Linked DNA regions of Oryctolagus cuniculus. The protein of the gene in region 1 interacts with the protein of each later gene in a pairwise test. Links are inferred from orthologs where the notes say so. Each region holds a gene or a part of one and is shown in the gene's direction. Other genes may lie near its edges.

The links.
Region 2: the proteins of TRAF3IP1 (region 1) and SMC4 interact in a two-hybrid assay, tested with the Homo sapiens proteins (2 studies listed by BioGRID and IntAct). The link is inferred for Oryctolagus cuniculus from reciprocal best matches to the Homo sapiens genes TRAF3IP1 and SMC4.
Region 3: the proteins of TRAF3IP1 (region 1) and KIF5A interact in a two-hybrid assay, tested with the Homo sapiens proteins (2 studies listed by IntAct). The link is inferred for Oryctolagus cuniculus from reciprocal best matches to the Homo sapiens genes TRAF3IP1 and KIF5A.
Region 4: the proteins of TRAF3IP1 (region 1) and IFT20 interact in a two-hybrid assay, tested with the Homo sapiens proteins (2 studies listed by IntAct). The link is inferred for Oryctolagus cuniculus from reciprocal best matches to the Homo sapiens genes TRAF3IP1 and IFT20.
Region 5: the proteins of TRAF3IP1 (region 1) and SMC3 interact in a two-hybrid assay, tested with the Homo sapiens proteins (2 studies listed by BioGRID and IntAct). The link is inferred for Oryctolagus cuniculus from reciprocal best matches to the Homo sapiens genes TRAF3IP1 and SMC3.
Region 6: the proteins of TRAF3IP1 (region 1) and cyclin-A2 interact in a two-hybrid assay, tested with the Homo sapiens proteins (2 studies listed by BioGRID and IntAct). The link is inferred for Oryctolagus cuniculus from reciprocal best matches to the Homo sapiens genes TRAF3IP1 and CCNA2.
Region 7: the proteins of TRAF3IP1 (region 1) and SPTBN1 interact in a two-hybrid assay, tested with the Homo sapiens proteins (2 studies listed by BioGRID and IntAct). The link is inferred for Oryctolagus cuniculus from reciprocal best matches to the Homo sapiens genes TRAF3IP1 and SPTBN1.

The regions. Positions count from the first base shown.
Region 1 is NC_091434.1:2,056,400-2,060,524, reverse strand, and holds part of TRAF3IP1 (TRAF3-interacting protein 1), read left to right. Parts: intron 1-2,571; coding exon 2,572-2,714; intron 2,715-4,125.
Region 2 is NC_091435.1:120,356,377-120,360,501, reverse strand, and holds part of SMC4 (structural maintenance of chromosomes protein 4), read left to right. Parts: intron 1-139; coding exon 140-331; intron 332-1,564; coding exon 1,565-1,741; intron 1,742-1,854; exon of another isoform or gene 1,855-1,914; intron 1,915-2,001; exon of another isoform or gene 2,002-2,066; intron 2,067-3,381; exon of another isoform or gene 3,382-3,498; intron 3,499-4,125. UniProt on the Homo sapiens protein: Central component of the condensin complex, a complex required for conversion of interphase chromatin into mitotic-like condense chromosomes.
Region 3 is NC_091442.1:60,179,515-60,183,639, forward strand, and holds part of KIF5A (kinesin heavy chain), read left to right. Parts: intron 1-1,096; coding exon 1,097-1,303; intron 1,304-1,562; coding exon 1,563-1,709; intron 1,710-2,192; coding exon 2,193-2,381; intron 2,382-2,706; coding exon 2,707-2,824; intron 2,825-3,116; coding exon 3,117-3,181; intron 3,182-3,303; coding exon 3,304-3,413; intron 3,414-3,762; coding exon 3,763-3,864; intron 3,865-4,125. UniProt on the Homo sapiens protein: Microtubule-dependent motor required for slow axonal transport of neurofilament proteins (NFH, NFM and NFL). Can induce formation of neurite-like membrane protrusions in non-neuronal cells in a ZFYVE27-dependent manner.
Region 4 is NC_091448.1:43,884,679-43,889,243, reverse strand, and holds the start of IFT20 (intraflagellar transport protein 20 homolog), read left to right. Parts: upstream 1-1,509; 5' UTR 1,510-1,678; intron 1,679-4,565. UniProt on the Homo sapiens protein: Part of intraflagellar transport (IFT) particles involved in ciliary process assembly. May play a role in the trafficking of ciliary membrane proteins from the Golgi complex to the cilium.
Region 5 is NC_091446.1:19,683,320-19,687,444, reverse strand, and holds part of SMC3 (structural maintenance of chromosomes protein 3), read left to right. Parts: intron 1-519; coding exon 520-627; intron 628-1,112; coding exon 1,113-1,221; intron 1,222-1,786; coding exon 1,787-2,034; intron 2,035-2,121; coding exon 2,122-2,334; intron 2,335-2,574; coding exon 2,575-2,766; intron 2,767-2,919; coding exon 2,920-3,097; intron 3,098-4,125. UniProt on the Homo sapiens protein: Central component of cohesin, a complex required for chromosome cohesion during the cell cycle. The cohesin complex may form a large proteinaceous ring within which sister chromatids can be trapped.
Region 6 is NC_091435.1:65,354,774-65,359,241, reverse strand, and holds cyclin-A2, read left to right. Parts: upstream 1-1,579; coding exon 1,580-2,437; 3' UTR 2,438-3,617; downstream 3,618-4,468. UniProt on the Homo sapiens protein: Cyclin which controls both the G1/S and the G2/M transition phases of the cell cycle. Functions through the formation of specific serine/threonine protein kinase holoenzyme complexes with the cyclin-dependent protein kinases CDK1 or CDK2.
Region 7 is NC_091433.1:147,999,236-148,003,360, reverse strand, and holds part of SPTBN1 (spectrin beta chain, non-erythrocytic 1), read left to right. Parts: intron 1-978; coding exon 979-1,125; intron 1,126-1,989; coding exon 1,990-2,253; intron 2,254-4,123; coding exon 4,124-4,125. UniProt on the Homo sapiens protein: Fodrin, which seems to be involved in secretion, interacts with calmodulin in a calcium-dependent manner and is thus candidate for the calcium-dependent movement of the cytoskeleton at the membrane.

The DNA.
Region 1 (4,125 bases):
GAAGAACTTAACCTTAATCCCTTAGTGTCATCAAGTGCCTGGTTTTCCCAGGTGGGCTGTTTGCTTTCCTGGTGTGTCTGTGTGAGTCAGGATTCAAAGAAGGCCCTTCGTTGCAGCTGGTTCATGCGACTCGCCCATCTCTCAGCCTGTAGCCCTCTCCCCGGTGCTGTGTTCACACAGGAAGCATTGGCCGGCTTGCCCTTGACTCTCTCCCCGTTGGGTGCTGCTCATCATCTCTCTGGTGTCTTTGCCCGTTTTCTTCTCTGTGTCCTGCCAGTTCTTGATCAGCTTTTTGTCACTGAATGGAAATACGGAAGGCAGGCTACTGGGAAGGAGCTTTTTAGCTTCCACTTTGGGTGCTGAAAGTGGAAACATGGCGTGATGGCAGGCGTGTGTGTGTGTGTGTGTGTGTGTGGCGGAAGTCCAGGGCCCTCAGGCTTTGTAAGAATCTCAAGCCACCTGAGAGCTCACCCCCGGGTGACCCTGGATCTCCCTCTAGACCCCACCTCCTACGCCTCCTCACTCCCGCCGGTGTCACGCTGGGATCGGGCTCCCAGCGCGGGAGCCTCGGAGGGGACCAAGGACACTCAGCCACAGCAGTGGAAATAAGGAGGCTTGCAGTCCGGGTGTGGCGGGAGTGCATCTCGGACAGTGCTGGACAGTGCTGTGGTCACCGTGTGGGACTCTGCCCGTGGCCTTGGCCCAGGGCTGTTTATTCTTGGAGGGTTGGAGAGCAGAGACCCTGGGTCCCTCCCCCTCCCCCAGGCACAGCCCCTGCAGCAGAGGCAGGAACCGCTGGCTGCCTCTTCCCTCCCCTCCCCTCCCCTGAGTGACTGTCCCTGGCCCCTAGCAGGGCTCTGGGTGGTTTTTGTTGGTTTGTTTTTGTCTACAAGTATTTGAGGCCATGGATTTTAACTAGTTAGATGTGTTTTGTCTCATTCTATCTCAGCTTTTCTTAACTGGTGTTCAGCCTGCCTAGTGTTAACAGCGGGAGCCCACTTGCGTTACCTTGTGGGGACCGTGTGGCACATGCAGTAGACGTAGCGTCCTTGTTTTCTGATAGCACAGGACGGTTCAGGCTCACTATGTATTTGCTGCCCCTGGGTTGGTCGTTGTTTCTGGAAATTTTCACTGTGTGAACCCAGAATGTAGACACGTGTGTGTGTGTGCACATAGACATCACAGACATACATGTATGCATATAATGTGTCTTGAGCTCGTACAGTGTAGCAAGGCAGGGTTTTGCCTGTGTTCCTGGCTTTGCACCTGTGTCTCTGTCTGCTCCCAGCAGCCTCGGCTGTTGGTCTAATGTACCTGACAACGTGCACCAGGCAGTTCCGCCCGCCACTGCCAGCGCGTTGTGCCAGCAGGTGACTGATAATGCTTCAGATTTGTGCTGTGCGTCTGTTTGTCTTTTTGTCTTTAGGGTGTATTGCACTGGGGATGTACAAAGCATTACTCTGTTTTAAAGTTATGAAATAACTCTCTATTGGTGTGTGCTGGCCAATTTGGTATTATTGTTTATCTTGCTTTCAGTTTCTGGGCATTGGTGCTTTTAATTTTGTGTGTGGGTATATGACACGTACGCGTGGTTTTAGGGTCAAATGTACACAACACGGCCGTCTCACCTGTGTGAGAGCCCAGAGTGTGGCCTCTGCTCCATTCCTTAATGACATGGGTGCGTGCGGGTGCGTGTGCTCACGTGCCCTCGTGGCCACCCTGCTTCATTTTCAATGACTGTCTTTGCCGGTGCTTTGTGAAGCAGATGGGGCACCGGCCGTCCTGTCTCGCGGCCGCACGTGGCTCTGCAGTGATGCAGCCAGGCTGGTGTTGGCGCGTGCGTGGGTGGAGCGGTGTCTTGAGAAAGTGATTTTGCATGCGATGTTTACCCCGCCTAACAAAGGCGCTGGCGCCGTGCCGGGTTGAAGAGGAGGACCGGTGCTCAGCACGCTCGGGACGGCCCTGCGCTGGGTCCCGGCAGCCAGCTTTGCTCCTCCGGGCACGAGGAAAGGAATCGCGAGGAGCCTGTTTCCCTGCAGCGTCTCCTCCAGCAGCTGTTGGCTGTTCTGTTGGAGGCTGTCTTTTGTCAAATGGAAAGATTATTTGAAACTTTTCAGGCCAGCGCGTGGCTCACTTAGTTAATCCTCCACCTGTGGCGCCAGCATCCCATATGGGCACCGGGTTCTAGTCCCGGTCGGGGCGCCGGATTCTGTCCCAGTTGCCCCTCTTCCAGGCCAGCTCTCTGCTGTGGCCTGGGAGTGCAGTGGAGGATGGCCCAAGTGCTTGGGCCCTGCACCCCATGGGAGACCAGGAGAAGCACCTGGCTCCTGCCAGCGGATCAGCGCGGTGCGCCGGCCGTGGTGGCCATTTGGGGGATGAACCAACGGAAGGAAGACCTTTCTCTCTGTCTCTCTCTCTCACTGTCTAACTCTGCCTGTCAAATAAAAAAAAAAAAAAAAAGAAAATAAACTTTCCAGTATAGAAAAAGGGTACTAATTCAGCATTTCTGCCACTCTCCCCCATTAAAACAGCTTCTTAGTGAATAAACTGTAACGTGATTGTTTTCAACAGGTGGACTTGTGAAAAAAATCTTGGAGACGAAGAAAGATTATGAGAAGCTACAGCAGCCCCCCAGAGCCGGAGAGAAGGTACGGGGTCCTGCGTGTGCTGGTGAGGGCGCAGCCTGCTCCGAGCTCGCCCTGGGAAACCGACCGGTAATGCCTGTTCACAGGTGCAGTGCCACCCCTCCCCGGGATAGGAACAAGTGCCACCCCTCCCCGGGATACGAAGTGCTGGGCAGGCCCTTTCTTGGGGGGGGGGAGTCTGTGTCCTAGGCCACCCCTCCCCGGGATAGGAAGTGCCGGGCAGGCCCTTTCTTGGGGGGGGGGGGGAGTCTGTGTCCTAGGCCACCCCTCCCCGGGATAGAAGTGCCGGGCAGGCCCTTTCTTGGGGGGGTATCTGTGTCCTAGGCCACCCCTCCCCGGGATAGAAGTGCCGGGCAGGCCCTCTCTTGGGGGGGGGGTATCTGTGTCCTAGGTCACCCCTCCCCAGGATAGAAGTGCCGGGCAGGCCCTCTCTTGGGGGGGGGGGCATGTCTGTGTCCTAGGCCACCCCTCCCCGGGATAGAAGTGCCGGGCAGGCCCTTTCTGGGGGGGGAAGTCTGTGTCCTAGGCCACCCCTCCTCGGGATAGGAAGTGCCGGGCAGGCCCTTTCTGGGGTGGGGGCTGTTTCCATGTCCTAGGCCACCCCTCCCCGGGATAGAAACAAGTGCCACCCGTCCCCGGGATAGAAGTGCCGGGCAGGCCCTCTCTGTGGGGGAAGTCTGTGTCCTAGGCCACCCCTCCCCGGGATAGGAAGTGCCGGGCAGGCCCTCTCTGGGGTGGGGGCTGTTTCCATGTCCTAGGCCAGAGGTGGGGGCAGTGGCTGCTTCAGGAGCTCAGAGCCACGGGCCTGGTCTGCTGCGTCCGCTCCCTGCAGCCTTGGCCGCCCCTGCTCCCAGGCTCTGCTTGTAGAAGGCGGGACCGGGCTGCCTGCGAGACGCCAGGCGTTGTGTGAGCTGGCTGTCCAGCGGGTGCTCTGCTTGTGCCTGGCTCCTGGGGCCTCCTTACAGACGTGCGGCAGTGCCCGCGGGGGGGGGGTGCCTCGGGTGCCAGGGGAGGCTTGTCTTCAGTCACTTTGGATGAAGAGCAGGAAGTTTCTTGGCTAGTTTGCTTTGTCAGCCACAAATTCCAGTTTTATATATGAGGTTCTATGCATTTGTTTACACAGATATATGAGGTTCTATGCATTTGTTTACACAGAAGTTGCAGACGCCTGCACGCACACACGCACGCACGCACGCACCTCTGCCAGGTGAATCAGCACCTGCGTCTCTTGGGTGATTCCGCTTGGAACGCTGGGTCAGTGCTGAAGGTGCCCGGTGGCCTGAGGCTGCCGAGCTGAGGCTGGCACTAGAGGGCGCCCTTCCACCGCGGCCCGGACAGTGCCGCAGGCTGCCGCTGTCTTGCTGGGGAGCTGTCACTCATCCTGGTCCTTCCTCCTGCGTGGGGCTGTCCCCGCGGTGCTCGTGGGACCCCCGTGGAAACCTGGGTGTGCCCCTCCTGGCGTCAGCCTTGGTCTCCGCCT
Region 2 (4,125 bases), on another chromosome or scaffold:
TAAGGTATTGTAGCTTGCAAAAGGAGAACATAATATAGAAAATGTGTCTTCTAATAATGAAAATTTTTACGGCAAATAAAAGCGAAAACAAAATTAGTGTTAATATGACCGTCTAAATTTTTCTTTTCTTTTTATACAGCGCTTTTCCTGTATTATTGGGCCAAATGGCAGTGGCAAATCCAATGTTATTGATTCCATGCTTTTTGTGTTTGGTTATCGAGCACAAAAAATAAGGTCTAAAAAACTCTCAGTACTAATACATAATTCTGATGAACACAAGGATATTCAGAGTTGTACTGTAGAAGTTCATTTTCAAAAGATAATTGATAAGGTAAGGGGCTTCTGCTATTCGGTTATTTGCAGCTTCAAGTAAGGAAAACAGAGAAGAAAACTTCAATACTTTGCACATTTGATTGTTTTTGGCTTAAATCAGCTTTTAAAAATTTTAACTAAAGCAAAAGAGATGGTAATTTTAATTAACTGTGTAACGATTTTTTTCTTTTTGAGGAGTAGGGGTTCCTGTTAATAAATTTTTTAGCCGGAGAAATGAAGTATAAATAGCTCATAGTAATCCTTACACTTTCTGGACAAAACATTGAGCAGTTTTAGGATACTGAGTGCTAAATAGGCATTCTTTTACTATAAATTTGAGCTCAAATTTTAAAAGTTATATTTTTAATTGCTTAGAATAAATTTACTAAACTTGAAAATTTTTATGGTTGAGTTATTTTTACCAACACCATTATTTCAGTGCACACTGAGGTTAGTTTATTTGTGGTTTTCTATGTCTGTGATATGATGAGCTTTTCTTTGGTTGGAACTATTTGATTCTGTTGATTTTTTTTTTTTTCTTTTCTGTTTAATGAATAATTTTAGGAAATTCGTGAATCAAAACTGATTAAATAGAGCTCAAAAATAAAACAACACGTATAGTGAAATTGGGGAAATGACTTGGTTTCTGGGCTTTTTTTTTTTTTTTTTAGCATGAAGGGCTTTAGTTGCACAGAAGCATCTAGTTTATTAATACATTTTGTTGAGTAATTTGGATTAGAAAATAGATTGCCAGTAAATCAGATGTTATTCTATTGCTATTAGCTTTGATTCATCTATATTTTTAAAACAAAGCTTCAGTATAGCAGAGCTTTTACGGTCAGGGAATGTGAGTTTTAGTATTAAATCAGGAATTATTGATTCTTTATGGTTGTTCTCTTTACCTTTGATTAAATCTGTCAACATGATTTAATTAGATGGGTGAGTTTGTTTTGGGTGTGATGGGATTCTTGTCCATCAGCTCTTCAAATACGATTTTAGGTTTGTTTGGGGATGGGTTTTTTGGTTGGTCTCTTTACTTTTTGGTTTTTGTGATCTTTGAGAAAGGTGCCAACTTGGAAAAGTGTTCTTTGCCAAGCAAGGTTATTTCTGAGAATTGCTGCCAGTTTGTAAGCATATTCAGTGAAGTTTTTAATCCACAGTATTCATTTCCGTATGAACTGAGTGAAATTTGAAGCAGACCTGTGACTTAATACCAACACTTGTTTTCTGGTTTTGTTTTTCCTCAAAACAGGAAGGAGATGATTATGAAGTCATTCCTAACAGTAACTTTTATGTATCCAGAACGGCCTACAGAGATAATACTTCTGTCTATCATATAAGTGGGAAGAAAAAGACCTTTAAGGATGTTGGAAATCTTCTTCGAAGCCATGGAATTGACTTGGACCATAATAGATTTTTAATCTTGCAGGTGAGATTATTAAAGACTTCAGAAGGTCTTTCTTATTACTTTTTCCCCCCCAACAATGCCAGAGAGGTTTCCCCTGTTGGATGAATCCTGTGTTTTGAGGCCTTAAAGTACTGTAGCAGCACATCATGGTTTACATAATATAGTCAAGATGCGAATCATAATTTGCTGCTCTAGAAATTTAAGGAAACACACTCAAAACTGGATTTTTATCATCTGATGCTCATTTTATGTTTAGATGGACTGACTGACTTGTTCCGCTCTAGCAGCACGTAAATATTGGCGTAGTGAAATAAATATTAAACACCAATATTATTGTGCTGCTTTAGCGTGACAGGGATATAACAACTATTTAACACTTCTGTTTGTATTTCCCTTTAAAATAACATTTTAAATGAGTTTTATTCTCTTTTAGTAGTCCTCTTTTTTTTCTCTTCTAATATATAGCAAAAAAAAAAATTACACTACTGTTTGACAAATTTACATGAGCACCTAACAGATGTAGTCATCTTAACACTTAGAATGGATACTGGTTAACTAAAAGTTTGTTCAAATTGTTTTTTGTGTAGAGTAGCCTGTTTTCTTGAACTACTATTGGTCAATTAGAAGGAAACCTTAACATTATATTCTTAAGTATCACAACTCTTACAGAACAAGTCTTTTTAAAAAGTGTAAAATTAAGTACTTGATAATTCTGTTGATTTTTATTAGAAATCCTGTATTGAAGTAATGGTATATTTTACCAGCATTGCTTGATTAGAAAAACCCTTTCTGTTTTCCTGTGTCTTAACTTTGAACCAAAAATATTTTTTAGTATATCACCATAACTTCTCAGACATTTAAAAATTAAGAGTATCTCATTTTCCTATGTCCTTTCCAGCATAACTAAGAGCATGATAATAAAACCAAAATTATTTTTTGATGTAGAAATTACTGTTAATACCTTATAGTGTCATATGCTACTGGTTTTAAAATAAGGTGAAAATTTTGATTAGATACTAAAAGTTTTGTTAGAATGAGTGTTCACAGTAAGAAATTTGTAGAATTTAATCCCTATTTTCATTTTAGTTTTTATTCTTAAAATATGTTTGTAGAAATAAAACTTTCAGGCTTTTATAACAAATAAGACAACTCTTGTCATTCTGGAAAAACTTTGAATTTATGTAAATGTGGAATTAAAGGATGGTTTTGTGTTTTTTTTAATGAAATTGAACTGCTTTATAGATTTTAATATTCTGGGACTTGGTTTGGTTAATTAAATATTAAAAAGTTATGTCCCTATATAATATACTAAATTTTATACCATTTTGTAGGAAATTGTCTTTTGCTTACTTACAACAGCATTTTAACCATTTTACCAAATTTTTTTTATTTCATGCAATCTCTCTATATGTGATTCAATAATAAAGGGAACTAATAATGTAATAATTTCCCAAAGGTAATTAGAATGATCTTTAAGATACCTTGTCATTGTGATAATCTGAACCTTTAGGTGATCTTAATTAAATGGTTAAAAATATTTCATCCTAAATAATATCTAGGTAAACTTTAAGAGTGACACAGATTTAATTTGATTGTATTAAATTTACAGAAAACAACCTTAGGAATTATCTGTTAGGAAGAAGAAACAGATTGGACTAGATAGAATTAATGTTGCCCTATTAAAAGTTTGAGCAAAGTGGCAGTGGTTTCTGTGGATTTGTTAAATAATTTCTCACCAAAATCTTAGACACTTATGTAGAGGTTTAAAGCATTTGAAGGTAAGTAAGAATGTGGTTCTTATTACCTTGTTTCATATTGGATGATATTTATCTTTTAAATTATCTGATTGAGAAGGCTGGAAAATTGTAGAAAATGTCACTGCTACCATCCCAGACATAAATTATTACCTTGAATAAAATTTATAGACTATTTGGACCATGATAGTGATTAACATTATTTTATATATTTGTTTACTAGGTTTTTCAAATAGGCTTTTCTACTATTTGAATCCATTTGAAATTTCATTCGTTCCTAATGAGGCACTATGCTAAGATACTATGAGTAATTTAAAGATGGCTAAACTCTATTTCTTGTCGTTAGGGACATTAGACATAACTTCAAAAGGCGTTAGATTTTGATAGACCATTGTTATTTTCCATGTTCGCACATTTTCCCATTTATATATGCCTTATTTGGGAGCCTTTGTCCTATTATAAATTGATTCAAACAAATAGTTTTACTAGCTCTGTAGCATTTCACAGGTATCTAACTTAAATTATTAGTTTAACTGGTTTTAGTGCAATTGTAAACACTTGAGAACTGTTATTAGCACAGCTTCAGTTTTGGCAGTTTTCAACTCTTCTTTTTGTCTTAATATTACAAAATCTAAGTTAAATTTTAAACTA
Region 3 (4,125 bases), on another chromosome or scaffold:
GCTGGGCGTGGGGCTGGAACCAGGAGCAGGACATTCAATCCAGGACTTCTGTGTGGGTAGCAGGACCCCAGTGACTTGAGCCATCGCTGCCGCCTGCTATGGTCCTCATTAGCAGGAGGCTGGAGTCAGCAGCTGGAGCTGGGAATCGAACCCCAGTGTGGGACGTAGGTCTCCCTACTTGTAAACACCCTCCCCTGAGAAGGCCTTTATAGAATCAGATGGCAGGGGGTCGGTGAGTTGCGGTGTAGCAGGTAAAGCCACTGCCTCCAACACCAGCACCTCACATGAGTGCCATTTCAAGTCGTGGCTGCACTACTTCCTGTCTAGCTCCCTGCTATGGTCTGGGAAAGCAGCAGAAGATGGCCCAAGTGCTTGGGCCCCTGCCATCCACCTGGGAAACCAAATGAAGCCATTTGGGAAATGAACCAGTGGATGGTTCTCTCTCTGTGTGTCTCTCCCTCTCTCTCTAATTCTGCCTTTCAAATAAAATAAATAACAACAACAAAAAAATTGGAGGGCTGGCGCCATGGCTTACTTGGTTAATCCTCCACCTGCGGCTCCAGCATCCCATATGGGCACCGGATTCTAGTCCTGGTTGCTCCTCTTCCAGTCCAGCTCTCTGCTGTGGCCTGGGAAGGCAGTGGAGGATGACCCGGGTGCTTGGGCCCCTGTACCCACATGAGAGACTGGGAGGAAGCACCTGGCTCCTGGCTTTGGATCGGCACAGCACGCCGGCCATAGCGGCCATTTAGGGGGGTGAACCAACGGAAGGAAGACCTTTCTCTCTGTCTCGCTCTCACTGTCTAACTCTGCCTGTCAAAAAAAAAAAAAAAAAAAAAATCGGATGGAGGAAGTGGCATTCTGCCTGGGGGCTGGTCACCCCCCAAAACTTAACAGAAGTCTAGGAAGTGCTTTGGGGCTTTTCTGAAAGCTCAGAGTTGGAGTCTGGGTGCTTCTTCATTCTGTTGCTGTGGAGCCTAAAACCCACTCCCTCCAACTTACGCTTTGGGTCGGGGGCTCATCTTCCCCAGCCTGTGGGGCTGTGGGGACAGTCGCCAGCAGGTGCTCTCTCACACGCCCTTCCTCTCCCGTGCAGCTGCTGGTGTCCACTCGAGGGGACAACGAGAAGGTGCAGCGGGAGCTGAGCCACCTGCAGTCAGAGAACGATGCCGCCAAGGAGGAGGTGAAGGAAGTGTTGCAGGCCCTGGAGGAGCTGGCCGTGAACTACGACCAGAAGTCCCAGGAGGTGGAGGAGAAGAGCCAGCAGAACCAGCTGCTGGTGGACGAGCTGTCTCAGAAGGTGGTGAGTGGCCTGCTCGTGGCCCGAGTGCTCCTGGCCTCGGACATCCTCCATGTTCCCCGGGGGGCTGGGCAGTAGGGTGTTGGCACCCATCCTGCCCCTGCACTTTGCCCTTCTGCCCCTTGTATTCCACACCCTTCTGTAGGGCCTGTGTCCTCTCTGTGGCGGCCCTGAGGGTCACGCACGAAGTGATAGGCCTCCGCCTGGGCCAGGGAGGGGAGTGGGAATGGCAGTGGCAGTGACCAGAGGGGCTGTTCCCCAGGCCACGATGCTGTCCCTGGAGTCTGAGTTGCAGCGACTCCAGGAGGTCAGTGGGCACCAGCGCAAACGAATTGCCGAGGTGCTGAATGGGCTGATGAAGGACCTGAGTGAGTTCAGCGTCATCGTGGGCAACGGGGAAATCAAGCTGGTGAGTGGGGAGACCCAGCAGTCCTGGTCAGGCCCTGGTGGGATGTGCAGGGTGGCCCAATCCAGACCCTCGGGGATACTGGGGAGGGGGGTGCAGAGAGCCAGGGGACACACCTTCACACTAGACCCAGAAAACAGCAAGAGGTTTGCACAGACTCAGGCAACAGGACACATTGCGGAGGTACCAAGTGCAGAAGCAATGGAGATGTACGTAGAATTTAGCAGTGGGGGCACAGTGCTGTGGAAGTGAGACACTGTTTCGCCTACCAAAGAAAATCATCATACATGATGAGATGGGAGCGGGGAGTGTGGCCCTTGGTTCTTTCAACGCAGGTGGAGGGATTTAGTGCAAATTGCCAGGAGAGCTGCTGCAGGGGGTTCACCTGTCCACCTGAGTCCCCAAGTGTGTGAGGGGCTGGGCGGAAGGCGGGAGGGATGCCTGGGACCCCCCTGCAGCTGGTCTTCCTCTTCTGCCCGTCCCCAGCCAGTGGAGATCAGCGGGGCCATCGAGGAGGAGTTCACGGTGGCACGGCTCTACATCAGCAAAATCAAATCGGAGGTTAAGTCCGTGGTGAAGCGGTGCCGGCAGCTGGAGAACCTGCAGGTGGAATGTCATCGCAAGATGGAGGTGACTGGGCGCGAGCTGTCGTCCTGCCAGCTCCTCATCTCCCAGGTAAGCGCCTGAGCTGAGAACCCTGGGGAACATGGCTATTGTGCGGTTGTGGATAAAGCTCCCAGCGCCCTCCTGAAGGTCAAGGTCAGCTGAGATCAGGGACAGAGGAGCTGGGGTGCCAGTGGGGAGAATTCAGCCAAACAAAGGCTCTGATCCGAGAGGGTCCAACAGAGTCCCCATAGGAATGACGCCCGACCTGCAGCGTCCTGGAAGGCGTGTGGTGGGGGAGGACTGGGGAGAATGGGAGTTGACAGGTATGCACCAGCTCGGAGTTGTGTCCCCAGCTCCAGCCATCTTCTTTCTCTTCCCACCCCTCTCCTCCCAGCATGAGGCCAAGATCCGCTCGCTTACAGAATACATGCAGAGTGTGGAGCTGAAGAAGCGGCACCTGGAGGAGTCCTACGACTCCCTGAGTGACGAGCTGGCCAAGCTGCAGGCCCAGGGTGAGGCCTTCCTCAACTCCGTCCCACCTGTCCTGGCATCTGAGATCCCCCAGGGAAAGTCCCAGACGTCCCCAAAACACCAGCCTGACAGTCCCCCAGAGCCTTAGCCTGAAACCACGGGTGCAGACTCTTGCTAAGAGCCCAGCCAGGCCTTTGCACGTGGCCCATGCACACGAACCATAAACCCTGGGCCTGCCCAGAACAGCCCATCCCCTGCCCAGCCTGAGCTTTGGTCACCACCTGTGGGTCTATCTGGAGGAGATGGGTTTGGTATGAGCTGTCTTTCTCATAGAAACTGTGCATGAGGTGGCCCTGAAGGACAAGGAGCCAGACACCCAGGATGCGGATGAAGTGAAGGTGAGTGCGGGGCTGGGGCTGGGGCCGGGGCTGGGGCCGGGGCCGAGGGTGGCGCAGGAGCAGAGACTTCATGGGGGTGCCTTGGGAGTCCGGCTTTGAGCCTGGAGTGGGGTTATTTGCAGAAGGCTCTGGAGGTGCAGATGGAGAGTCACCGGGAGGCCCATCACCGGCAGCTGGCCCGGCTCCGGGACGAGATCAATGAGAAGCAAAAGACCATTGATGAACTCAAAGAGTAAGGTTCCCGTGGGTGGCCCCAGTCTCCCCCAGGTCCTCCCGTCCTGCGGGGCGCGCTCAGCTGCCCTTCCGGATCTGGTTCTTCCACTCCCACGTGTCGTTCCGTCCACCGTGACACAGCTTTGCAGCCCAGCTGTATCAGGAGATACAGAAGTATGGACTGCTCCCTCCCCTTGAGGCCTGACTGATTGGCGAGCTCAGGGCTGTTTGCTGTGTCACAGAAGCAGTGGCCTGCATTGATGCATCCATTCCAAGTGGCTTCCCTCCTGCAAGGAGGAGAGTGCTTGAAGAGCTTTCTTCCCTTTCCTGCGCGTGAACCTCTGCTTTTCTCCCCGCGGCCCTCACAGCCTGAATCAGAAGCTGCAGCTGGAGCTGGAGAAGCTGCAGGCCGACTATGAGAAGCTGAAGAGCGAAGAGCACGAGAAGAGCGCCAAGCTGCAGGAGCTGACGTGAGTGATGCTCACCCGCGCCCAGCGGGCCCACAGAGGCGGGACGCCTGGGCACCTGGCACACATGGCCACCCACAGGTCAGGGAGGGGCCAAGGAGACTCAGAAGCGACCTGAGTAGTAGCCGGAAGAGGCCTGTGGGTTCTGTTAACTGTGAAAAGCTGGTGTAAGAGCAGTCTGGTATGACCCCATAAAAACCTGCACGTGGGTGCAGGGCCCCAAGGACTTGCTTCATCTTCCACTTCTTTCCCAGGCACATTAGC
Region 4 (4,565 bases), on another chromosome or scaffold:
GAGGAAGCAGTAGTGCAGGCATAAAGTGGTGAAGACTTGGAGCACAGGGGGAACAGAGGCAGAGAAAAGGCAGAATCCTCTCCCTCCATGCTCACACGCGGGAGCTGACGGTGTGCCTCGCCAAGTGCAGCCCACAAATGGCACTGGTGTCCCCAGTTGTGCCGCTCCACTCCGCACGCGGTCTTTCTGCACACTGGCCTGCACTTTTATACATGGATTTCAAGATGTTTTCTCCACCAAAATAAATTTTTCTTAATTTGACTTCCCACGAACCTTTTGAAGTCCATGGCAGTTCGTCAGATTGAAATTGTCCCTGAAAAGATTTAGGCAGGTCCCTGGGAAGAATGTCCCAAAAGGGCCAGAGTGGGTGTCCTGTGAAGTGATGAACTGTGCAGGCATGCGGTGTGGATGAGAAAAGCCCTCAACAGGAGTCTGCCGAGACCTCCACTGGGACAGCGGATGACCTAACCTCCCACCGACTCCAAACCAATCAGTCCACCCAGGAAAAGTTTTTAACAAGGTCAAAGAAAACACATGCATTTTCTCCCAAAGCAAAGGTACTGAAAGCCTGCGGTTTGCCAGGAGAGGAAGACAAATCCACAGCTAATCTATTCCTTTCCTGCAAAGCAACTGTTCCTGGCTGACGTCAGCTCAGATTCCATTCAGACCAATGAGTTCCAGGAATCCTGCGGCAGGTGCCGCCCCAGAAAGTAATTCCAGCGACAATGAAGTTTCCACTCAATACTCTTCCTTCCGGACTTTGTGGGTATTTGGGGATGCCTGGGGCTAGGGGCGGATCCATTTCCCACTCTGCGAACAAAAGGCAGACAACCAAAGCGGTGGACCGCGGTTGGATCCCAAAGGAAGAAGGATCTAGAAACCCGTCACGCACGGGGGGCCGGGGGCGGGTGGGTGTTGGGGAAGCCGTGAGCTGATCTTGGCTATAGAGGGTGGACCCAGCAGAAATCCTAGGTGTGAGGCTTAGGCTGCAAGGTCCTGGAGAAATTCGGCCACGGCCAGCCTCTCCCGTGGCCAGCGTAGGCTCTTGCCCAGCCCGCCCCCCTCACTACCAAGGAACCGAGACCAGCTCTGCATCTCCGCTGCGCCGTCCCACCCCTGCTTCCCAGGACCCGGCGGGCAGTCTTTGCTCCAGCCGAGGCCCGACTCTCACCGTCGCCGGGGGCTCCTCTCCTCTCAGCTGGGGGGCGAGCGAACTCCGTGCCGTCTCTGACCTGTGGCTGCCTGCCCGCCAGCAATCCCGAGCTGTGAGCTCACATCCTGCGCCGGTCGACTCCTCCCGGAGCAGCGGGCCATAAGCCTGAGACTACAAAGCCCGGCATGCACAGCACTCTAACAGGGAGGGGAGGCGGAAATTCCCGGAGGATCTTCCGGGCAAGAGCATAGCCACTTCCGGTAGCCCTGCAGGCGCAAAGGCCTCTGGATCTTGTAGGCAGTCATCCTTCCCTTCGGGCCTCTGTTTCCCAGCAGGCCCTGTAGGATGAACGGGTGTGAGTGCTTCCGGTGTCCGGAAGTGACGTTGTGGATAAACAGGTTTTGTAGCCGTGGCAGCGGCTGAGGAGAGGCGAGCCGGCCAGGCACTGACTGCTGCCCACCGCCGAGAGGAGCTGCCTGTCAACATCAGCCTGGGCCGCAGCGCACCACCGCTACGGGTGGGCAGGTAGGTCGTGACCTCGGGTCGGGGGCAGCTGGGTCTAGAGGAACTGGACAGACCCGCTGTTGAGGAAAGGCTGTTCCAGGCTGAAAGAAACTTAGGAATTCCGCCCGTCCCTTCGCGAGCGTTTCACACTCAGGTTGGGCCTGGAGCTTGAGCGTGGTCTTAGGAAGCGGGGACTCGTGTAAATCCAACGGGTTTGCGCAGTAAAGACAGTGTCAGGCCCTCCGGACTCAGCCTCGTGCTTCCTCCAACCCCAGGAACGGGGCCTGTGCCTGATGCCAAGCATGGATCGTGGTGAGGCGTTTCCGCCCTCACCCCGGCGCTCCGCCGCGTGTAGTGGGAATTGGGATGGAATCTGATGGGCAGCTGGGAAGCCTCTCCTTCAACCCTTCTCCCGTCTCAGGTGACTCATTCAGCTACCCCTCCCAGGTGCAAGGGATTCATGCCCGACCGCTTCACTCATCCCCTCCTCCAGTCAAGCCCCTCTAAGTCCTAGCAAATCGACTTACAGAAACATCTCAACCCAGAACGCCGGCCTCCAGGTGCTGGGCTGCTGTAGTGGCCTCCGGCTGCTTGCACAGCCACTGGTCATCCCACAGATGTCCACGGAGTGCCGACTGTGCAGGCACCGTGCTGGGTGCTAGGGTTGCAGTGATGAACACAGTAGGTGTGCTCGCCTTCCTGGTCTTCTGAGGCAGAGTGGTTTTTTATTTATTTTTAAGATTTATTTGAGAGGTAGAGTTACAAACAGAGAGAGGGGTCTTCCATCTGCTGGTTCACTCCCCAGATGACTGCAACGGCCGGAGCTGCGCCGATCCGGAGCCAGGAGCTTCTTCCAGGTCTCCCACACGGGTGCAGGGGCCCAAGCACTTGGGCCATCTTCCACTGCTTTCCCAGGCCATAGCAGAGAGCTGGATCAGAAGTGGAGCAGCCAGGACTCAAACCGGCGCCCAAAAGGGATGCTGGCACTGCAGGCAGCGGCTTAGCCTACTGTGCCACAGTGCTAGCCCCCAGAGTGATTATTTTAAAAAAAAGATTTGTTTGTTTGAAAGGTAGAGTTAGAGAATCTTTGCTATGCTGGATCACCCCCCAAATGATTGCAACAGTGGGGCTGGGCCAGGCCAAAGCTAGGAGCCTGGGACTCCATCCTGGTCTCCCATGTGGATGCAGGGGCTTTCCTAGGCCCATTAGCAGGGAGCTGGATCGGAAGAGGAGCAGCTGGGACTTGAACTGGCACTGATAAGGGATGCTGACATCACCCAGTGTGTCACAATGCTGGCCCCCAGAGTGGTCTTTCCCAATGATTGTGTCACTCTGCTGAGAATCTGCTGGCTGCTCCTTACTGTTAAGACGTTATTGTGGGGCTGGTGCTGTGGCATAGCGGGTAAGCCGCCGCCTGCAGAGCCGGCATCCATAAGGGCGCCAGTTCAAGACCTGGCTGTTCCACTTCTGATCTAGCTCCCTGCTGTGGCCTGGGAAAGCAGTAAAAGATGGCCCAAGTCTTTGGGCTCCTGCACCCATGTGGGAGACCCGGAAGAAGCTCTTGGCTTCGGATTGGCCCAGCTCCGGCCGTTGTGGCCATTTGTAGAGTGAACCAGCAGATGGAAGACCTCTCTCTCTCTCTCTCTCTCTCTCTCTGCCTTTGTCTTTCTGTAACTCTGCCTTTCAAATAAATAAATAAAACATATGTTGACAGGTTAAAAAAAAAAAAAGACATTATTGCAGTTCAGTGCCAGCTCCCCGAGTGGTCTCCCTGTCCCACTCTCCGTCTTGTTCACCTGTCAGCCACACTGGCCTTCAGTCCTTGGAATGCATCAGATTTCTTTTGTCTCAGGACTCGTACATAAACTTTTCCTTTTTAATATTTATTTATTTGAAAGAGCTAGAGGGGTAGAGACAGATCTTCCACCTCTGGTCACTCCCCAAATGTCTGCAATGGCCAGAGCTGGGCCAGGCTGAAGCCAGGAGCTTCCACTGGGTCCCCCACTTGGGTGCAGGGGCCCAAGGACTTGGGCCATCTCCCGCTGCTCTCTCAGGCCATAGCAGAGAGCTGGATCGGAAGTGGAGCAGCCGGGACTCACATGGGCACCCACGTGGGATGCTGGCGCTGAGGCCGGGTCTCTAACCTGCTGCGCCACAGCGCCGGCCCCTGAGCTTTTCCGCTGCTTGAGCTACCTCCTTGCCCACTGCTCTCAGCGGAGTTTTGGGCGTCCTGTAGGTCTCGCTGTGACTTTTTCCGAAGGCCTTCGCCTACAGGGCCCTCTGAATTCCGCGCTCCTCCTCTGCTGCAGCTGCACACCCAGCCCAGCGTCTGCTCACCCCGTTACCAGGGTGCGGGGTCCTTGGTTTGCAGTCCAGAGACGTTTCCTTCACTGCCCTGCCCCAGAGCAGGCGCTGTAGAGTTGCTGTCGGCGCAGGGGACAGGAGCTGAGGCGTGTTTGCTCCTTCCCGCCACTTGAAGCTCTCGCAGCAGCTGGTCTGATGAATCGCCTGCTGGCTGTCACACTCTGTGTGTAAGTGCGACAGAGCAGGCTGGATGACAGATGGTCTACAGAAGTCTGCTGTTAAGGAAACTCTGAAGTGTTTAAAAACGGGCAGGCGTCGGTGTGGTGGCCAGGCCACCACTTGGGACGCCTGCATCGCGCATCTAGCACCTGGTTCTGGACTCAGCCACTCTGCTTCCGACCGAGGTTTCTGCCGATGTGCACCCTGGGAGGCAGAGGTGACGGCTCACGTATCGGAGTCCCTGCCACCCCGTGTGGGAGACTTGGACTGGGATCCAGGCTTCTGGCTTGGGTCTGGCCCAGCCCTGGTGGTTGTAGGCATTTGGGGAGTACCAGAGCAGATGGAAGCTCTCTCTCCATTTATCTCTTGGCTTTTGAATAAAAAC
Region 5 (4,125 bases), on another chromosome or scaffold:
ACTCCCCAAATGGCTGCAACGGCTGGAGCTGAGCCAATCAGGAGTCAGGAGCTTCCTGTGGTCTCTTATCTGGGCGCAGGGGCCCAGGGACTTGGACCATTCTTCGCTGCTTTTCCAGGCACATTTGCAGGGACCCGGATCTGCAGTGGAGCAGCCAGTACTTGAACTGGAACCTATATGGGATGCTTGTGCTGCAGACCAGGGCTTTAATGTGCTTCGCCACAGCTCCAGCTCCATAACATTTGATTTTTCTAGATATGAACAACATTGAGTCCAAAAATAGAGGAAGAAGGAAAAGAAAACCATTTTATGTGCATACTTCACAAAAAGAATCAGGCACAAAAATTTGAAAATCTGGATAAGAGAAAATGTGGGGCTTTTTTGGGAGGGAATAGAATATAAAACCCCATTTCAGTACTTTTGAGGACAAGTAATAGAAAAGACAATAGACTAACTGTGTTTCTGTGTGTGAAATGTGCATGCTTATTTAGACAACTAATTTCCCTTTCTAAATTCTAGGAAAATAGGCAGTTGCTAAATGAAAGAATTAAATTAGAAGGTATTATTACTCGAGTAGAGACTTACCTCAATGAGAATCTGAGAAAACGCTTGGACCAAGTAGAACAGGTACGTTGTTCCTTTTTAGGGGTTCCTTGATGATCGTAACCCATTTGAAAGTGGTTATATGAGAGACTGAAAGCATAGGCTTTGGGGACAGAAACATAACTGACTGACCTAAGGGACCTAGATTGGAGTTCTAGCACTGCCACCTAGTGTGCAGTTTTGGGCGATTCTCACTTATTATTTCTAAGCCAGTGTTTCTTATGTAAATAAAGTCTGCATTAGTGTTAGTACCTGTTTTGCATGGTCACTATCATGGCACATTCTAAGTGCTCAGTAAATGCTAATTAATAATATTTTCTCAGTAGTACTCAGATGCTGAGAAATTTTCTAGTATTAATCTTCCTACTCCATTGTATTCATGTATTTTTGATTTTGTTGGATTCAAATATAACAGCTGTAGAAACTGTTAGCAGACATACCATTTTGAAGTTAACAAAATTTGTTTCACTTGATTTAATGCTAATGTTCATAGGTCCTTTTGTGTTTAGGAACTTAATGAACTGAGAGAGACAGAAGGGGGTACTGTCCTTACAGCCACAACATCAGAACTTGAAGCCATCAATAAAAGAGTAAAAGATACCATGGCACGATCAGAAGGTGAATTTTTATGTAGTAAAAATGTTTTTGATTATTTACAGTTAGCCTTATTTGTTTTGTGAGATTGCTTTACTACAAAATGAAATACCTTAAGAGGCAAAAAGCATGTGCTAATAAGTTTTTGTGTCTTGTGTTATTTATAAACAATTTATGGTGAGTGGTGTTTAGGTTGATTATAAATAGTAACAAATAGTTACTTGTTTTATTGAGGTGTTTGTGACATTTTTATTAGAAACTATAAAGTAAAATATTATGGGAAAAAGATAAAAAGTGCTTTCATTAAGGTTCTTGTCACTTAGTTGCTGAGAAGAAAATCAATTTCTTAGTTTTTTATATAAACAAGTATTAAAATAATAAAAACTATATTGGAGTGACTGATTTACAAGCCCAATTTTGTCCTAAGTAGTTTATGTATTTTCACAGCAAAATTTAAACAAACACTGGAAAAAAACCTAACACCTATATAGTTTGGTAAACTTGGCCATTAAAATAAAATCTTTGCTCAAATAACATTTGGGCTTTAAAATAGATTTTATAGCCTAATTTTGTTTTTTCCCCACCTTAGATTTGGACAATTCCATTGATAAAACAGAAGCTGGAATTAAGGAGCTTCAGAAGAGTATGGAACGCTGGAAAAATATGGAAAAAGAACACATGGATGCTATAAATCATGACACTAAAGAACTGGAAAAGATGACAAATCGACAGGGCATGCTACTGAAGAAGAAAGAAGAGTGTATGAAGAAAATTCGAGAACTAGGATCATTACCCCAGGAAGCATTTGAAAAGTACCAGACACTGAGCCTCAAACAGGTAAATCTTACTGGCTTTAAATTTGAAGTCTCATTGCAAATCTCCCTGTATGTGAATTTATTTATACTTTTTTTTTTCTCCTTATAGTTGTTTCGAAAACTTGAGCAGTGCAACACAGAATTAAAGAAGTACAGCCATGTTAACAAAAAAGCTTTGGATCAGTTTGTAAACTTTTCTGAGCAGAAAGAAAAGTTAATAAAGCGACAAGAAGAGTTGGATAGGGGGTACAAATCAATCATGGAACTGATGAATGTACTTGAACTTCGAAAATACGAAGCTATTCAGTTAACTTTCAAGCAGGTGTGTTTCTGCTTACAGTTAAAATGCACAGGCACACAGAGCCAAGACTCAGCTGTTACTCAATTTGTAAAGCTTCCCACCCACTGACACAGAGAATAGACCCAACACAGGCTCTTGAAAGGATCCAATATTTCATTTCTGTTTTTAAGATTAAAAAACACTTCTGATTGCTTTAAAATAATTGTTTTAAGCAAAATTTATATTTCAGCTGACAGGGTTTTGTTTTGTTTTGTTTTTAAGGTATCCAAGAACTTTAGTGAAGTATTCCAGAAGTTAGTGCCTGGAGGCAAAGCTACTTTGGTGATGAAGAAAGGAGACGTGGAAGGCAGTCAGTCTCAGGATGAAGGAGAAGGGAGTGGTGAAAGTGAGAGGGGTTCTGGGTCACAAAGCAGTGTCCCATCAGTTGATCAGTTCACTGGTGTTGGAATCAGGGTAAAGTACCTTTACTTTCTGTTTTCTTTAGAATATCACCGTGGCAGAATTCGGTGGATCTTTTGCAAATTAAATTGGCACACTGTAGGCGACTTAAGAGATAATAGTGATTTTTTTTCTCTAAGATACAAATGCATAACACGTTTTTTTTAGGTGTCATTTACAGGAAAACAAGGTGAAATGAGAGAAATGCAGCAGCTTTCAGGTGGACAGAAATCCCTGGTAGCCCTTGCTCTGATTTTTGCCATCCAGAAATGTGACCCAGCTCCTTTTTACTTGTTTGATGAGATCGACCAGGCTCTGGATGCTCAGCACAGAAAGGCTGTGTCAGGTACAATGTGGGTTTTGTAGTTAGTCCTGAAAAGATGATAGTTCACCTGTTGTCTGGGAATATAGTGAGTAAATAATTTCTCTTTTAGTAGTATTTAATAGTATTTGTTAAATAGTTTAACAAAGTTTAGTTTTGTATGAGAAATAGGTGTAATTCTGTTTTTTTGTTTTTGTTTTTGTTTTTGTTTTAAGATTTATTTATTTATTTGAAAGAGTTACACAGAGAGAGGAGAGGCAGAGAGAGAGAGAGAGAGAGGTCTTCCATTTGATGATTCACTCCCCAGTTGGTCCCAACGGCCAGAGCTGTGCTGATCCGGAGCCAGGAGCTTCTTCCGGGTCTCCCACGTAGGTGCAGGCGCCCAAGGGCTTGGGCCATTTTCTACTGCTTTCGCAGGCCATAGCAGAGAGCTGGGTTGGAAGTGGAGCAATGGGTCTTGAACCGGTGCCCATATGGGATGCCAGCGCTTTAGGCCAGGGTGTTAACCTGCTGCGCCACAGCGCTGGCCCCAACGTAATTCTTTAAATCAGTAAAAACTGGGGCCAGCGCTGTGGTGTAGTGGGTAGGGCCACCGCCTGCAGTGAAGGCATCCCATATGGGTACCAGTTTGAGTCTCGGCTGCTCCACTTCTGATCCAGCTCTCTGCTATAGCCTAGGAAAGCAGTAGAGGATGGCCCAAGTCCTTGGGCCCCTGCACCTGTGTTGGAGACCCAGAGGAAGCTCCTGGCTCCTGGCTTCAGATCGGTGCAGCTCTGGCCATTGCAGCCAATTGGGGAGTGAACCATTGGATGGAAGACCCCTCCCTCCCTCCCTCCCTCTCCTTCCTTTTCTGTGTAACTCTTTCAAATAAATAAATAAATATTAAAAAAAGATCTTTTAAATCAGTAAAAACCCTGATCCAGTTAAATTTATGTACAAAAGTCACTTTTTCAAAAATTTAATTTTTGTTTATTTCTTGAGAGAGGACTCTGTTGGTGGGTTCCCATATGCCCACAATGACCAGGGCTGGGTCTGGGCCAGAACCAGGAATG
Region 6 (4,468 bases), on another chromosome or scaffold:
CTATGAGTCTGCTGAGCATCTCACTTCCCATGCTGGACCACTCTCCCCTTTATCCATTCTATCGGTTGGTGTCAGCAGATACTAGACTTGCCCATGTGCTCCCCTTGACTCTCAGTCCTTTCATTATGATCAATTGTGAACTGAAATTGATCACCTGGAATAGCGAGATGGCATTGGCACATGCCACCTTGATGGGATTGAATTGGAATCCCCTGGTATGACATGGAGATTTTGAGGTGCCCCTCTCCTTCCCTGCTGGATGGATGTCCGAGAAGACCAAATACAGAGTTACGACTTCAGCTAATCTTAAAAGTAACAAGGCAAACCATCCCCTGAAAGTGTCAGAGAAGCCACATGGGGATCAGTAATGAGGCAATTCTTCCACATCCAGCCTGAGTAGTATTAGTAGGTACATAGTGGAGAGTCTTGTCTTCTACTACTGCCCCACACTTATAAAGAGTACCCCTTCCCCAGTGTCAATGGAGGCCAAGCTGCTGATAATAAGATGATGTCCTTTCCCCATTGGAGTAGCGTCATAGGATCCTGCCATATCAAATATTTAAATGAGATCAAATGTCTCACAATATTAATCACTAATATATCAAGAATTTAATTTTAATAATCACTTATGTTAAAAGGAAAACTAGGCTATTCTCAATTAGAGTGAGAAAACATGATCTAAAGATGTTGACACTCAGGGTTGTCTAACAAGGATTTTGTAGACTCTACAATAAAAATACTTCCACAATAATCATGAATATACTTGGAACAAATATAAAAAACATAAAGTTTTAGCCAAAGAAAAGAATATATAAAGAAGAAAATATATTTTGAAATAAAATATTCAATAACTAATATTTTGAAAACTCCATGAATGGGCTCAACAGTGGAATGGGAGAGAAAGAGGAAGCAATAGTGAATTGGATTTTTTTTTGCCCTCCGCGCCCGGCAGCGTTTGCCTGCGCCTCTCGCAACCTCCTCGATCCTGCGCGTTCCGGAGACAGGGGAGCGAGCGGGAGGGCTGGCAGACTGGCCCGGGCTGCGGCGAGGGGCTACGGCTGGAGCGTTCCTGGGCGGGATCGGCGCCGCTGGTCGACTGGGCGGAGTGTGCACGCTGCTTGGCTCGGCAGACTGATCCCGCCGCCAGCTCCCTGGAGCAACGATGTTGGGCCACAACGTGCCGAAGCCCGCGGCCGGCGAGGCGGGCTCGGCGCTCCTAGAGGACCAGGAGAACATCAACCCCGAGAAGGCGGTGCACGCCCAGCAGCCGCGGGCCCAGGCTGCTCTGGTGGTACTGAAGGCTGGGAACTCCCGGGGTCCAGTTCCACAACAGAGGCCCACGACGCGACGGGTTGCACCTCTTAAGGATCTTCCTATAAATGATGAGCAGGTCTCTGTTCCTCCTTGGAAAGCAAACAGTAAACAGCCTGCATTCACCATTCATGTGGATGAAGCAGAAGAGGAGCCTCCCAAGAGGCCCACGGAATCTAAAAAAGACAAGCCTGAAGATGTCCTGGCTTTTAATTCAGCCATCACTTTACCTGGACAAAGAAAACCACTGGTACCTCTTGATTAGCCAATGGATGGTAGTTTCGAGTCACCATATACTATGGACATGTCAATTGTATTAGAAGATGAAAAGCCAGTGAGTGTTAATGAAGTCCCAGACTACCATGAGGATATTCACACATATCTTAGGGAAATGGAGGTTAAATGTAAACCTAAAGTGGGTTACATGAAGAAACAGCCTGACATCACTAACAGTATGAGGGCTATCCTCGTGGACTGGTTAGTTGAAGTAGGAGAGGAATATAAACTACAGAATGAGACTCTGCATTTGGCGGTGAACTACATCGATAGGTTTCTTTCTTCAATGTCTGTGTTGAGAGGAAAGCTTCAGCTTGTGGGCACTGCTGCTATGCTGCTAGCCTCAAAATTTGAAGAAATATACCCACCAGAAGTAGCAGAGTTTGTATACATTACAGATGATACCTATACAAAGAAACAAGTTCTGAGAATGGAGCATCTAGTTTTGAAAGTCCTTGCTTTTGACTTAGCTGCACCAACGGTAAATCAGTTTCTTACCCAATACTTTCTACATCAGCAGCCTGCAAACTGCAAAGTCGAAAGTTTAGCAATGTTTTTGGGAGAATTAAGTTTGATAGATGCTGACCCATACCTAAAGTATCTGCCATCAGTTATTGCTGGAGCAGCATTTCATTTAGCACTCTACACAGTCACGGGACAAAGCTGGCCTGAATCATTAGTACGAAAGACTGGATACACTCTGGAGACTCTTAAGCCTTGTCTCATGGACCTTCACCAGACCTACCTCAAAGCACCACAGCATGCACAACAATCAATAAGAGAAAAGTACAAAAATTCAAAGTATCATGGTGTTTCCCTCCTCAACCCACCAGAGACACTAAATGTCTAACAGTGAAAGACTGCATTTGTTTCTAAGATGTAAATCACTCAAAGTATATTGTGTACAGTTTTTATCTTGGGTTTTGAATGTTACAATCATTTCTGAATACAGAAGTTATGGACAAGAACAAATTATGGTATCTATTACTTTTTAAATGGTTTTAATTTGTATATCTTTTGTACATGTATCTATCATAGATATTTGGCTAATTTTAAGTGGTTTTGTTAAAAGTATTAATGATGCCAGCTGTCAGGATATTAAGAATTAATAAATTGATTTGGAAAATTTTATAAGTCAAATTTAATTTGAGATAAAAACCTGACTTCAAGATTTCTTAGAAAAGTTACCTGGCTTATACAGTACAGTGGGGAGTGGAAAGCCACTCTCTAAAAAGTTGACTTTAGGAAAACAGACCCTCAATGTTCTAATATCCATTTTCCTAAGCAACTGGATCAGTCTGCCGATTTCTGCACAATAAATCTGTGCTTATTTACCAGTACGATGAAAATCATTCTTCTTTGTACACACACAGCAGCCTATCAGATTATTTTATTCCTCATCAATTTTTACACTTTACACATACACAGGTTGGGGAATAAGGCTTTGAGATGACAAAATTTTCAGAGAAAAAGCTCTAGAACATTCACTTTAATGTTAAAAAAATAAAACTTAGGGATTTGTGAATAAATGATACCCAGGTTGTTAGCACTGAATAAATACATCTAATAGTTATATATACAAATATACAACTATGTTAGCTTTAATTAGCAGCTCTCTTCTTTTTTCTCTTTTTCATTGGCTTTTTACTTGGTGCTTTTTCTTGTTTCCCAATGGTGGTCTGTGTTCTGCGGATAAAGTAAAATAAATTAACAGTTCACTTAATTATGCTTAAGTTTTGGATCACTGAAATAGGAGGTCTTTTATTTTTTTGCACTAGGGTACAAAATGTGACAGCAGGAAAAGTAAATACAGTAACCCTGAAAGGTATCCAAAAATAGTTTAATAGAGAGTTAGGTGCTAATTTTTATTAATTACAGGGTGAAAAAAACACATAATAGCTGATGAAAAAGGGATGTCTGTGTATAACAGTTCTGTAAGATGAGAGTCAAACCAGAGAGCAAGCCTCAAACTCTTAAGTTACATGTACATGTTTGAAATAAACCAAAAACTTGTTACCTTAAAAAAAAAATAGTGAATTGGAAAACAAATCAATAGAAAAATTACCTACATGGAACTAGCATTGTGGCACAACATATTAAGCGACAACTTACAATGCTAGCATCTCATATCAAAGTGTAGGTTCAAGTTCCAGCTGCTGTTCTTCCAATCCAGCTCCCTGTTAATGTTCCTAGGAATGCAGTGGATGATGACCCAAGGACTTAGGTACCTGCCACCCATTGGAAAACATGATGAATTCCTGGCTCCTGGCTTTGCCCTAGCCCAACTCTGAATATTTTGACCATTTGATGAATAAACTAGTGGATGAAAGATCCCTATATATATTTCTTGCTCTTGCTGTGTGTGTGGGTGTGTGTGTGTGTGTAGATCTGAGAGAGAGAGAGACACAGAGAGAGGGAGACTCACTCTCTCTGTCACTCTGCCAATAGAATAAATAAATGAATAAATATTTTAGGAAAAAAAAGAACCAATTTTAACAAAAATATAAAAGAAAAAATAATAGGAAAATTTGAAACCATAGCAAAAGATATAATATCCATAGCATTCATAATATCCTGGAAGGAGGGGAGCTTAAAATATAATAAAATAAATAATAGTTGAAAAATCCCCAAATTTATCAAGAAAACATAAGTTTACAAATTCTAAAAGCTGAGCAGATTGCAAACAGCAAATCCCAAAGAAATCCACAAAAAAAGTATATAAATAGTCAAACTCTGAAAAGCACAAAATAGAAGAAATCTGAAAAGCAAAGATTAATGCCACCTTCGTTATAGGAGAAAAATAATTCAGGTGACAGCCAATTTCTCATCAGAAATCATGAAGGCCAAAAGGAAGTGACACAATATTTTTCAAGTGCTAAAA
Region 7 (4,125 bases), on another chromosome or scaffold:
GCAAGAGACATGGGCCCTGAAGACATTTGCTCCTGATTCTAAGCCAACTCTGCATTTCTTTCTTTGTGTTTCTCCTGCCTGGGAAGACAGAAAATCCTTCCCGAGTTAGCACATGAATGGGGTAGGAATCAGGACTCTGGCATGGCCCATTGCAAGGGAGCAATAAGCGACAAAGGCTCAACCAGAAGGAAAGCCAATAAAAGGTCCACGGCCTGGAGTTTGGCTGACTCCTTACCTCTAAGCCTCCTAAGAAAACTCCTTCCTCAGATCTGTCATGGCTGGAAGGTTTTGTGTGGCTTTCCAGAGTTCAGATCCAAGTGGACATGTTGAGTCTCAAAGTTAACTCCTGTGGAGTGTTCTCAGTCTCAGTGAAAGGGTCTTCAGCAGGCTGGAGGCTGTAGACAGAAAGGCGAAGGTGACAGAAGAACCGTGAAGAGGGCATGATTGTTGACTGAGCCCTATTGTGAGCGTGACTGGTGCATTTTGGCCTCCCCACAGTTGGAGCCAGGAAGCAGGGAGGTAGTTAAATGAGTGAATGGATTCGTTTTCTAATAGAAAGTCGGAAGAGCAACAAGATCACCACACAAGATGAGAGTCAGTCATGTTTTAACACAGTGGCATAGACAACAAAGGTATCTGGAAGGGAAAGAGGTAGTGACTTGGGCTGGTTAGAGGAGAATTTTAAATGCAAGCCTTTGTGGTATAGCTGGGTAGGAATGGCCAACAGCTTGAAAGCAGATTCAAAGAGCTTTTGTACTTTGGGGCAGAGCATAACATGCACATTGCAAAGCAAAGCCCTGGTACAACTTTTGCATAATGGGTACCCCTCATGATGGGTGAAAGTTGTAAAGTTACATATTTGGTTTTGTGTTGCCATGGAAACTCATGACGCACACATAGTCCCTTTTTTCAGCAGAGGAAAAAAACAGTGGTTTGTGATCACAGTATCTGAATCCTTCCTGATCTTTTGTTTTATAGCTATCTCTCTGGATCAATGAAAAGATGCTGACAGCCCAGGATATGTCATACGATGAAGCCAGAAATCTGCACAGTAAATGGTTAAAACATCAAGCATTTATGGCAGAACTTGCATCCAACAAAGAATGGCTTGACAAAATTGAGAAGGTGGGTTAAATGTTTCAAGAAAGTCCCCATTCCCATTTTGTGGCTGCGATGAGAAAACTCCCGCGTGTAGCACATATTCCAGCTTGTTTGCGTCTTACCTGATGCTTTACAGAAGTTCTGCAGCCAGTAGCAGTCCCACTTTGACCTACCAGGTCCTGACTTCAACCCACTAGAAGGGAGAAAAGCAAAAACCCAAGCAGGTGTTGCAAAATGGTTGGCTTTTCTTTAAGTGAATGCCAAGCATTTTAGTCTGTGTTGTGCACCTCATCTGCTGTTGAGCTGACAGACCAAGAGTCCCCACCAAGGAGGGTCACCACCATATTGATCATATTAACCTGTGTCGTACTGTGACAGCTTTATCGGATAGAGCTGCAGAGAATTTTAAAATATATACTTAAAATCTGTTTTTCTTGTTTGACTATATAGACCAGATCTGTATTAACTGTTGAAACCTGTTATTTCAGCACAAGAAATAGATTCTCTGCTGTATAACCCAACGGCGTAAAAGTTACCACCCTCCCTCCTCTCCCTTCACACCTCTGATATTGTTTCAGGCTCTGAATGGGGAAAATAATGCGTTATGTTTGATCGCTGAGGCATGGAATGAATGAGATGAAGTCTTAGGTTATTGGCTCCAAGTCTCCCATTGCTCCAGTTGTTTCAGCCTGCAGCGCTGTGTTTCCTCCCCCACAACCTATACTAATGTGCACAGTATCCTAATGTGGAATGACTGTGAGTGGGGTGGGTGTGTGTGTTGAATGAAAGGGTAAATCGCAGATCAGATGTCTTAGCCTTGTTTTTCAGTGACATTTGTTCTCCAGCAAATTCTGTTTATTTAGAACCACGCTGGTTTGTGTTCTCTAGGAAGGAATGCAGCTCATTTCAGAGAAGCCCGAGACGGAAGCCGTGGTCAAAGAGAAGCTCACCAGTCTACATAAAATGTGGGAAGTCCTTGAGTCCACCACCCAGACCAAGGCCCAGCGGCTCTTTGATGCCAACAAGGCTGAACTCTTCACCCAGAGCTGTGCAGATCTAGACAAATGGCTGCATGGCTTGGAGAGTCAGATCCAATCTGACGACTATGGCAAAGACCTGACCAGTGTCAACATCCTGCTGAAAAAACAACAGGCAAGTGTGCTGTGGGACAGCCACGTCCCCAGGCCTGGGTCTGTTTCACAGCCTTTGTCTTCGTTACTTTTGGTCACCCACTGTGTTCTCAGCCATTGCCTTCCACAGGAAGAGATGTTAATACCCAGCAAAATGCTGTTCTGACAGCCTCATGGGGCCGTTTTCAACATCAGCTTAAAGGACAGTGTTAGTAGAATTGGGCATCTTCTTCATTCATGAGTGTTATTAACAGTTGAGTAAATATTACTTTCATTCAGTCCTGCGTTTTACACACAGAGAGATAATCACTTTTGTCTACTTTTGTATAGCATCTGGATATGTGACAGTTGCCTGAGTTGTTTAAGGTACTCTATATATAGATAATCACATAAGGTTTTTTATGTCACATTAGAAAGCCGTAAGGGCAAGGTGTAAGGTAGGGGTCTTGCTTCATGATTCTGCACGTGGAAATCCAATTTTCCCAGCACCATTTATTGAATAGACTGTCCTTGCTCCAGGAATTAGTTTTAGATCCTTGATCAAATATAAGTTGGCTGTAGATGTTTGGGTTGATTTCTGGTGTTTCAATTCTGTTCCATTGGTCTATCCATCTGTTTCTGTACCAGTACCATGCTGTTTTGATTACAACTGCCCTGTAGTATGTCCTGAAATCTGGTATTGTGATGCCTCCGGCTTTGTTTTTGTTGTACAAGATTGCTTTAGCTATTCGAGGTCTCTTGTGCCTCCATATAAATTTCAGCACCATTTTTTCCAGATCTGAGAAGAAGGTCTTCGGTATCTTGATTGGTATTGCATTGAATCTGTAAATTGCTTTTGGGAGAATGGACATTTTGATGATATTGATTCTTCCAATCCATGAGCATGGAAGATTTTTCCATTTCTTGGTATCCTCTTCTCTTTCTTTCTTTAAGGTTTTGTAATTTTCATCGTAGAGATCTTTAACGTCCTTGGTTAAGTTTATTCCAAGATATTTGGTTGTTTTTGTAGCTATTGTGAATGGGATTGAATGTGAATGGGCAAATGAATTTACCTCAAATTTGTGAGAAGACAGCTCTGTCCAGGTTGGGAAAGCAGGTTGATGGCCGAGTCTTCCTGTGGCTCCTCTTGCTAGCTTCACGGTGTGTGGCTTCCTTCTGCAGCCAGCAGTTCCACCCAGAACGAATCACCGGACACCAAGGTTCTTTCTTCATCTGGGTGACGCTCACCCTTCCTTGTGCTAGATGGTGTGTTTATTCTGCTCAAGTTACTGTGCATCAGGGAGTTTTCTTCTCTCTGTGGCTTTTAATCGTGGCTGTTGACCTCTTCTAGCTGTGATGCGGGTCCCCTTGTCTCTAAGCTGTCAGTATGTGGTCTTCTCGGGTGCTGTTTCCTGACTGAGATGTCTCTGCTCTCACTTTCCTCACACAGCTGAGTATCCATCATGGGGCTTGGGGAGGGGGAGAGAATCAGCTTTCTGAGCAAAGAGAGGGAGGGCAGATGAAACCGTAGCTATCTTCCTTGCCTAAAACATCTGGCCCCTCGACTGCCCTGCTTTCTGATGATGAGACTGGCTTCCGAACAGGCGAGTGAATACCTGTTTTTTCTCATGGTCAGTTACTTTTCCCCTTTTCTTTCCCTCCTCAGGTTCCTGCATAAACTTGAACATTACTCCTACATTTAAAAATCCTAGGAAGGGATATTTTAAAAATCTGACAAAGAAGCTGGCATTGCTGATTGATAGTTTGATGGATGTTAAATCCGTTTCTTGGGCTCTCTGCTATGCACATTCATGTTGGATCTTCCACTGGGGCCCTTGCCCAAAACCAGCGTTTCCTAGGACTGTGTGTTCCCCTGGCTCCCATGTGAAGGGTGGTCTCTTTTTGACCCTCAGAT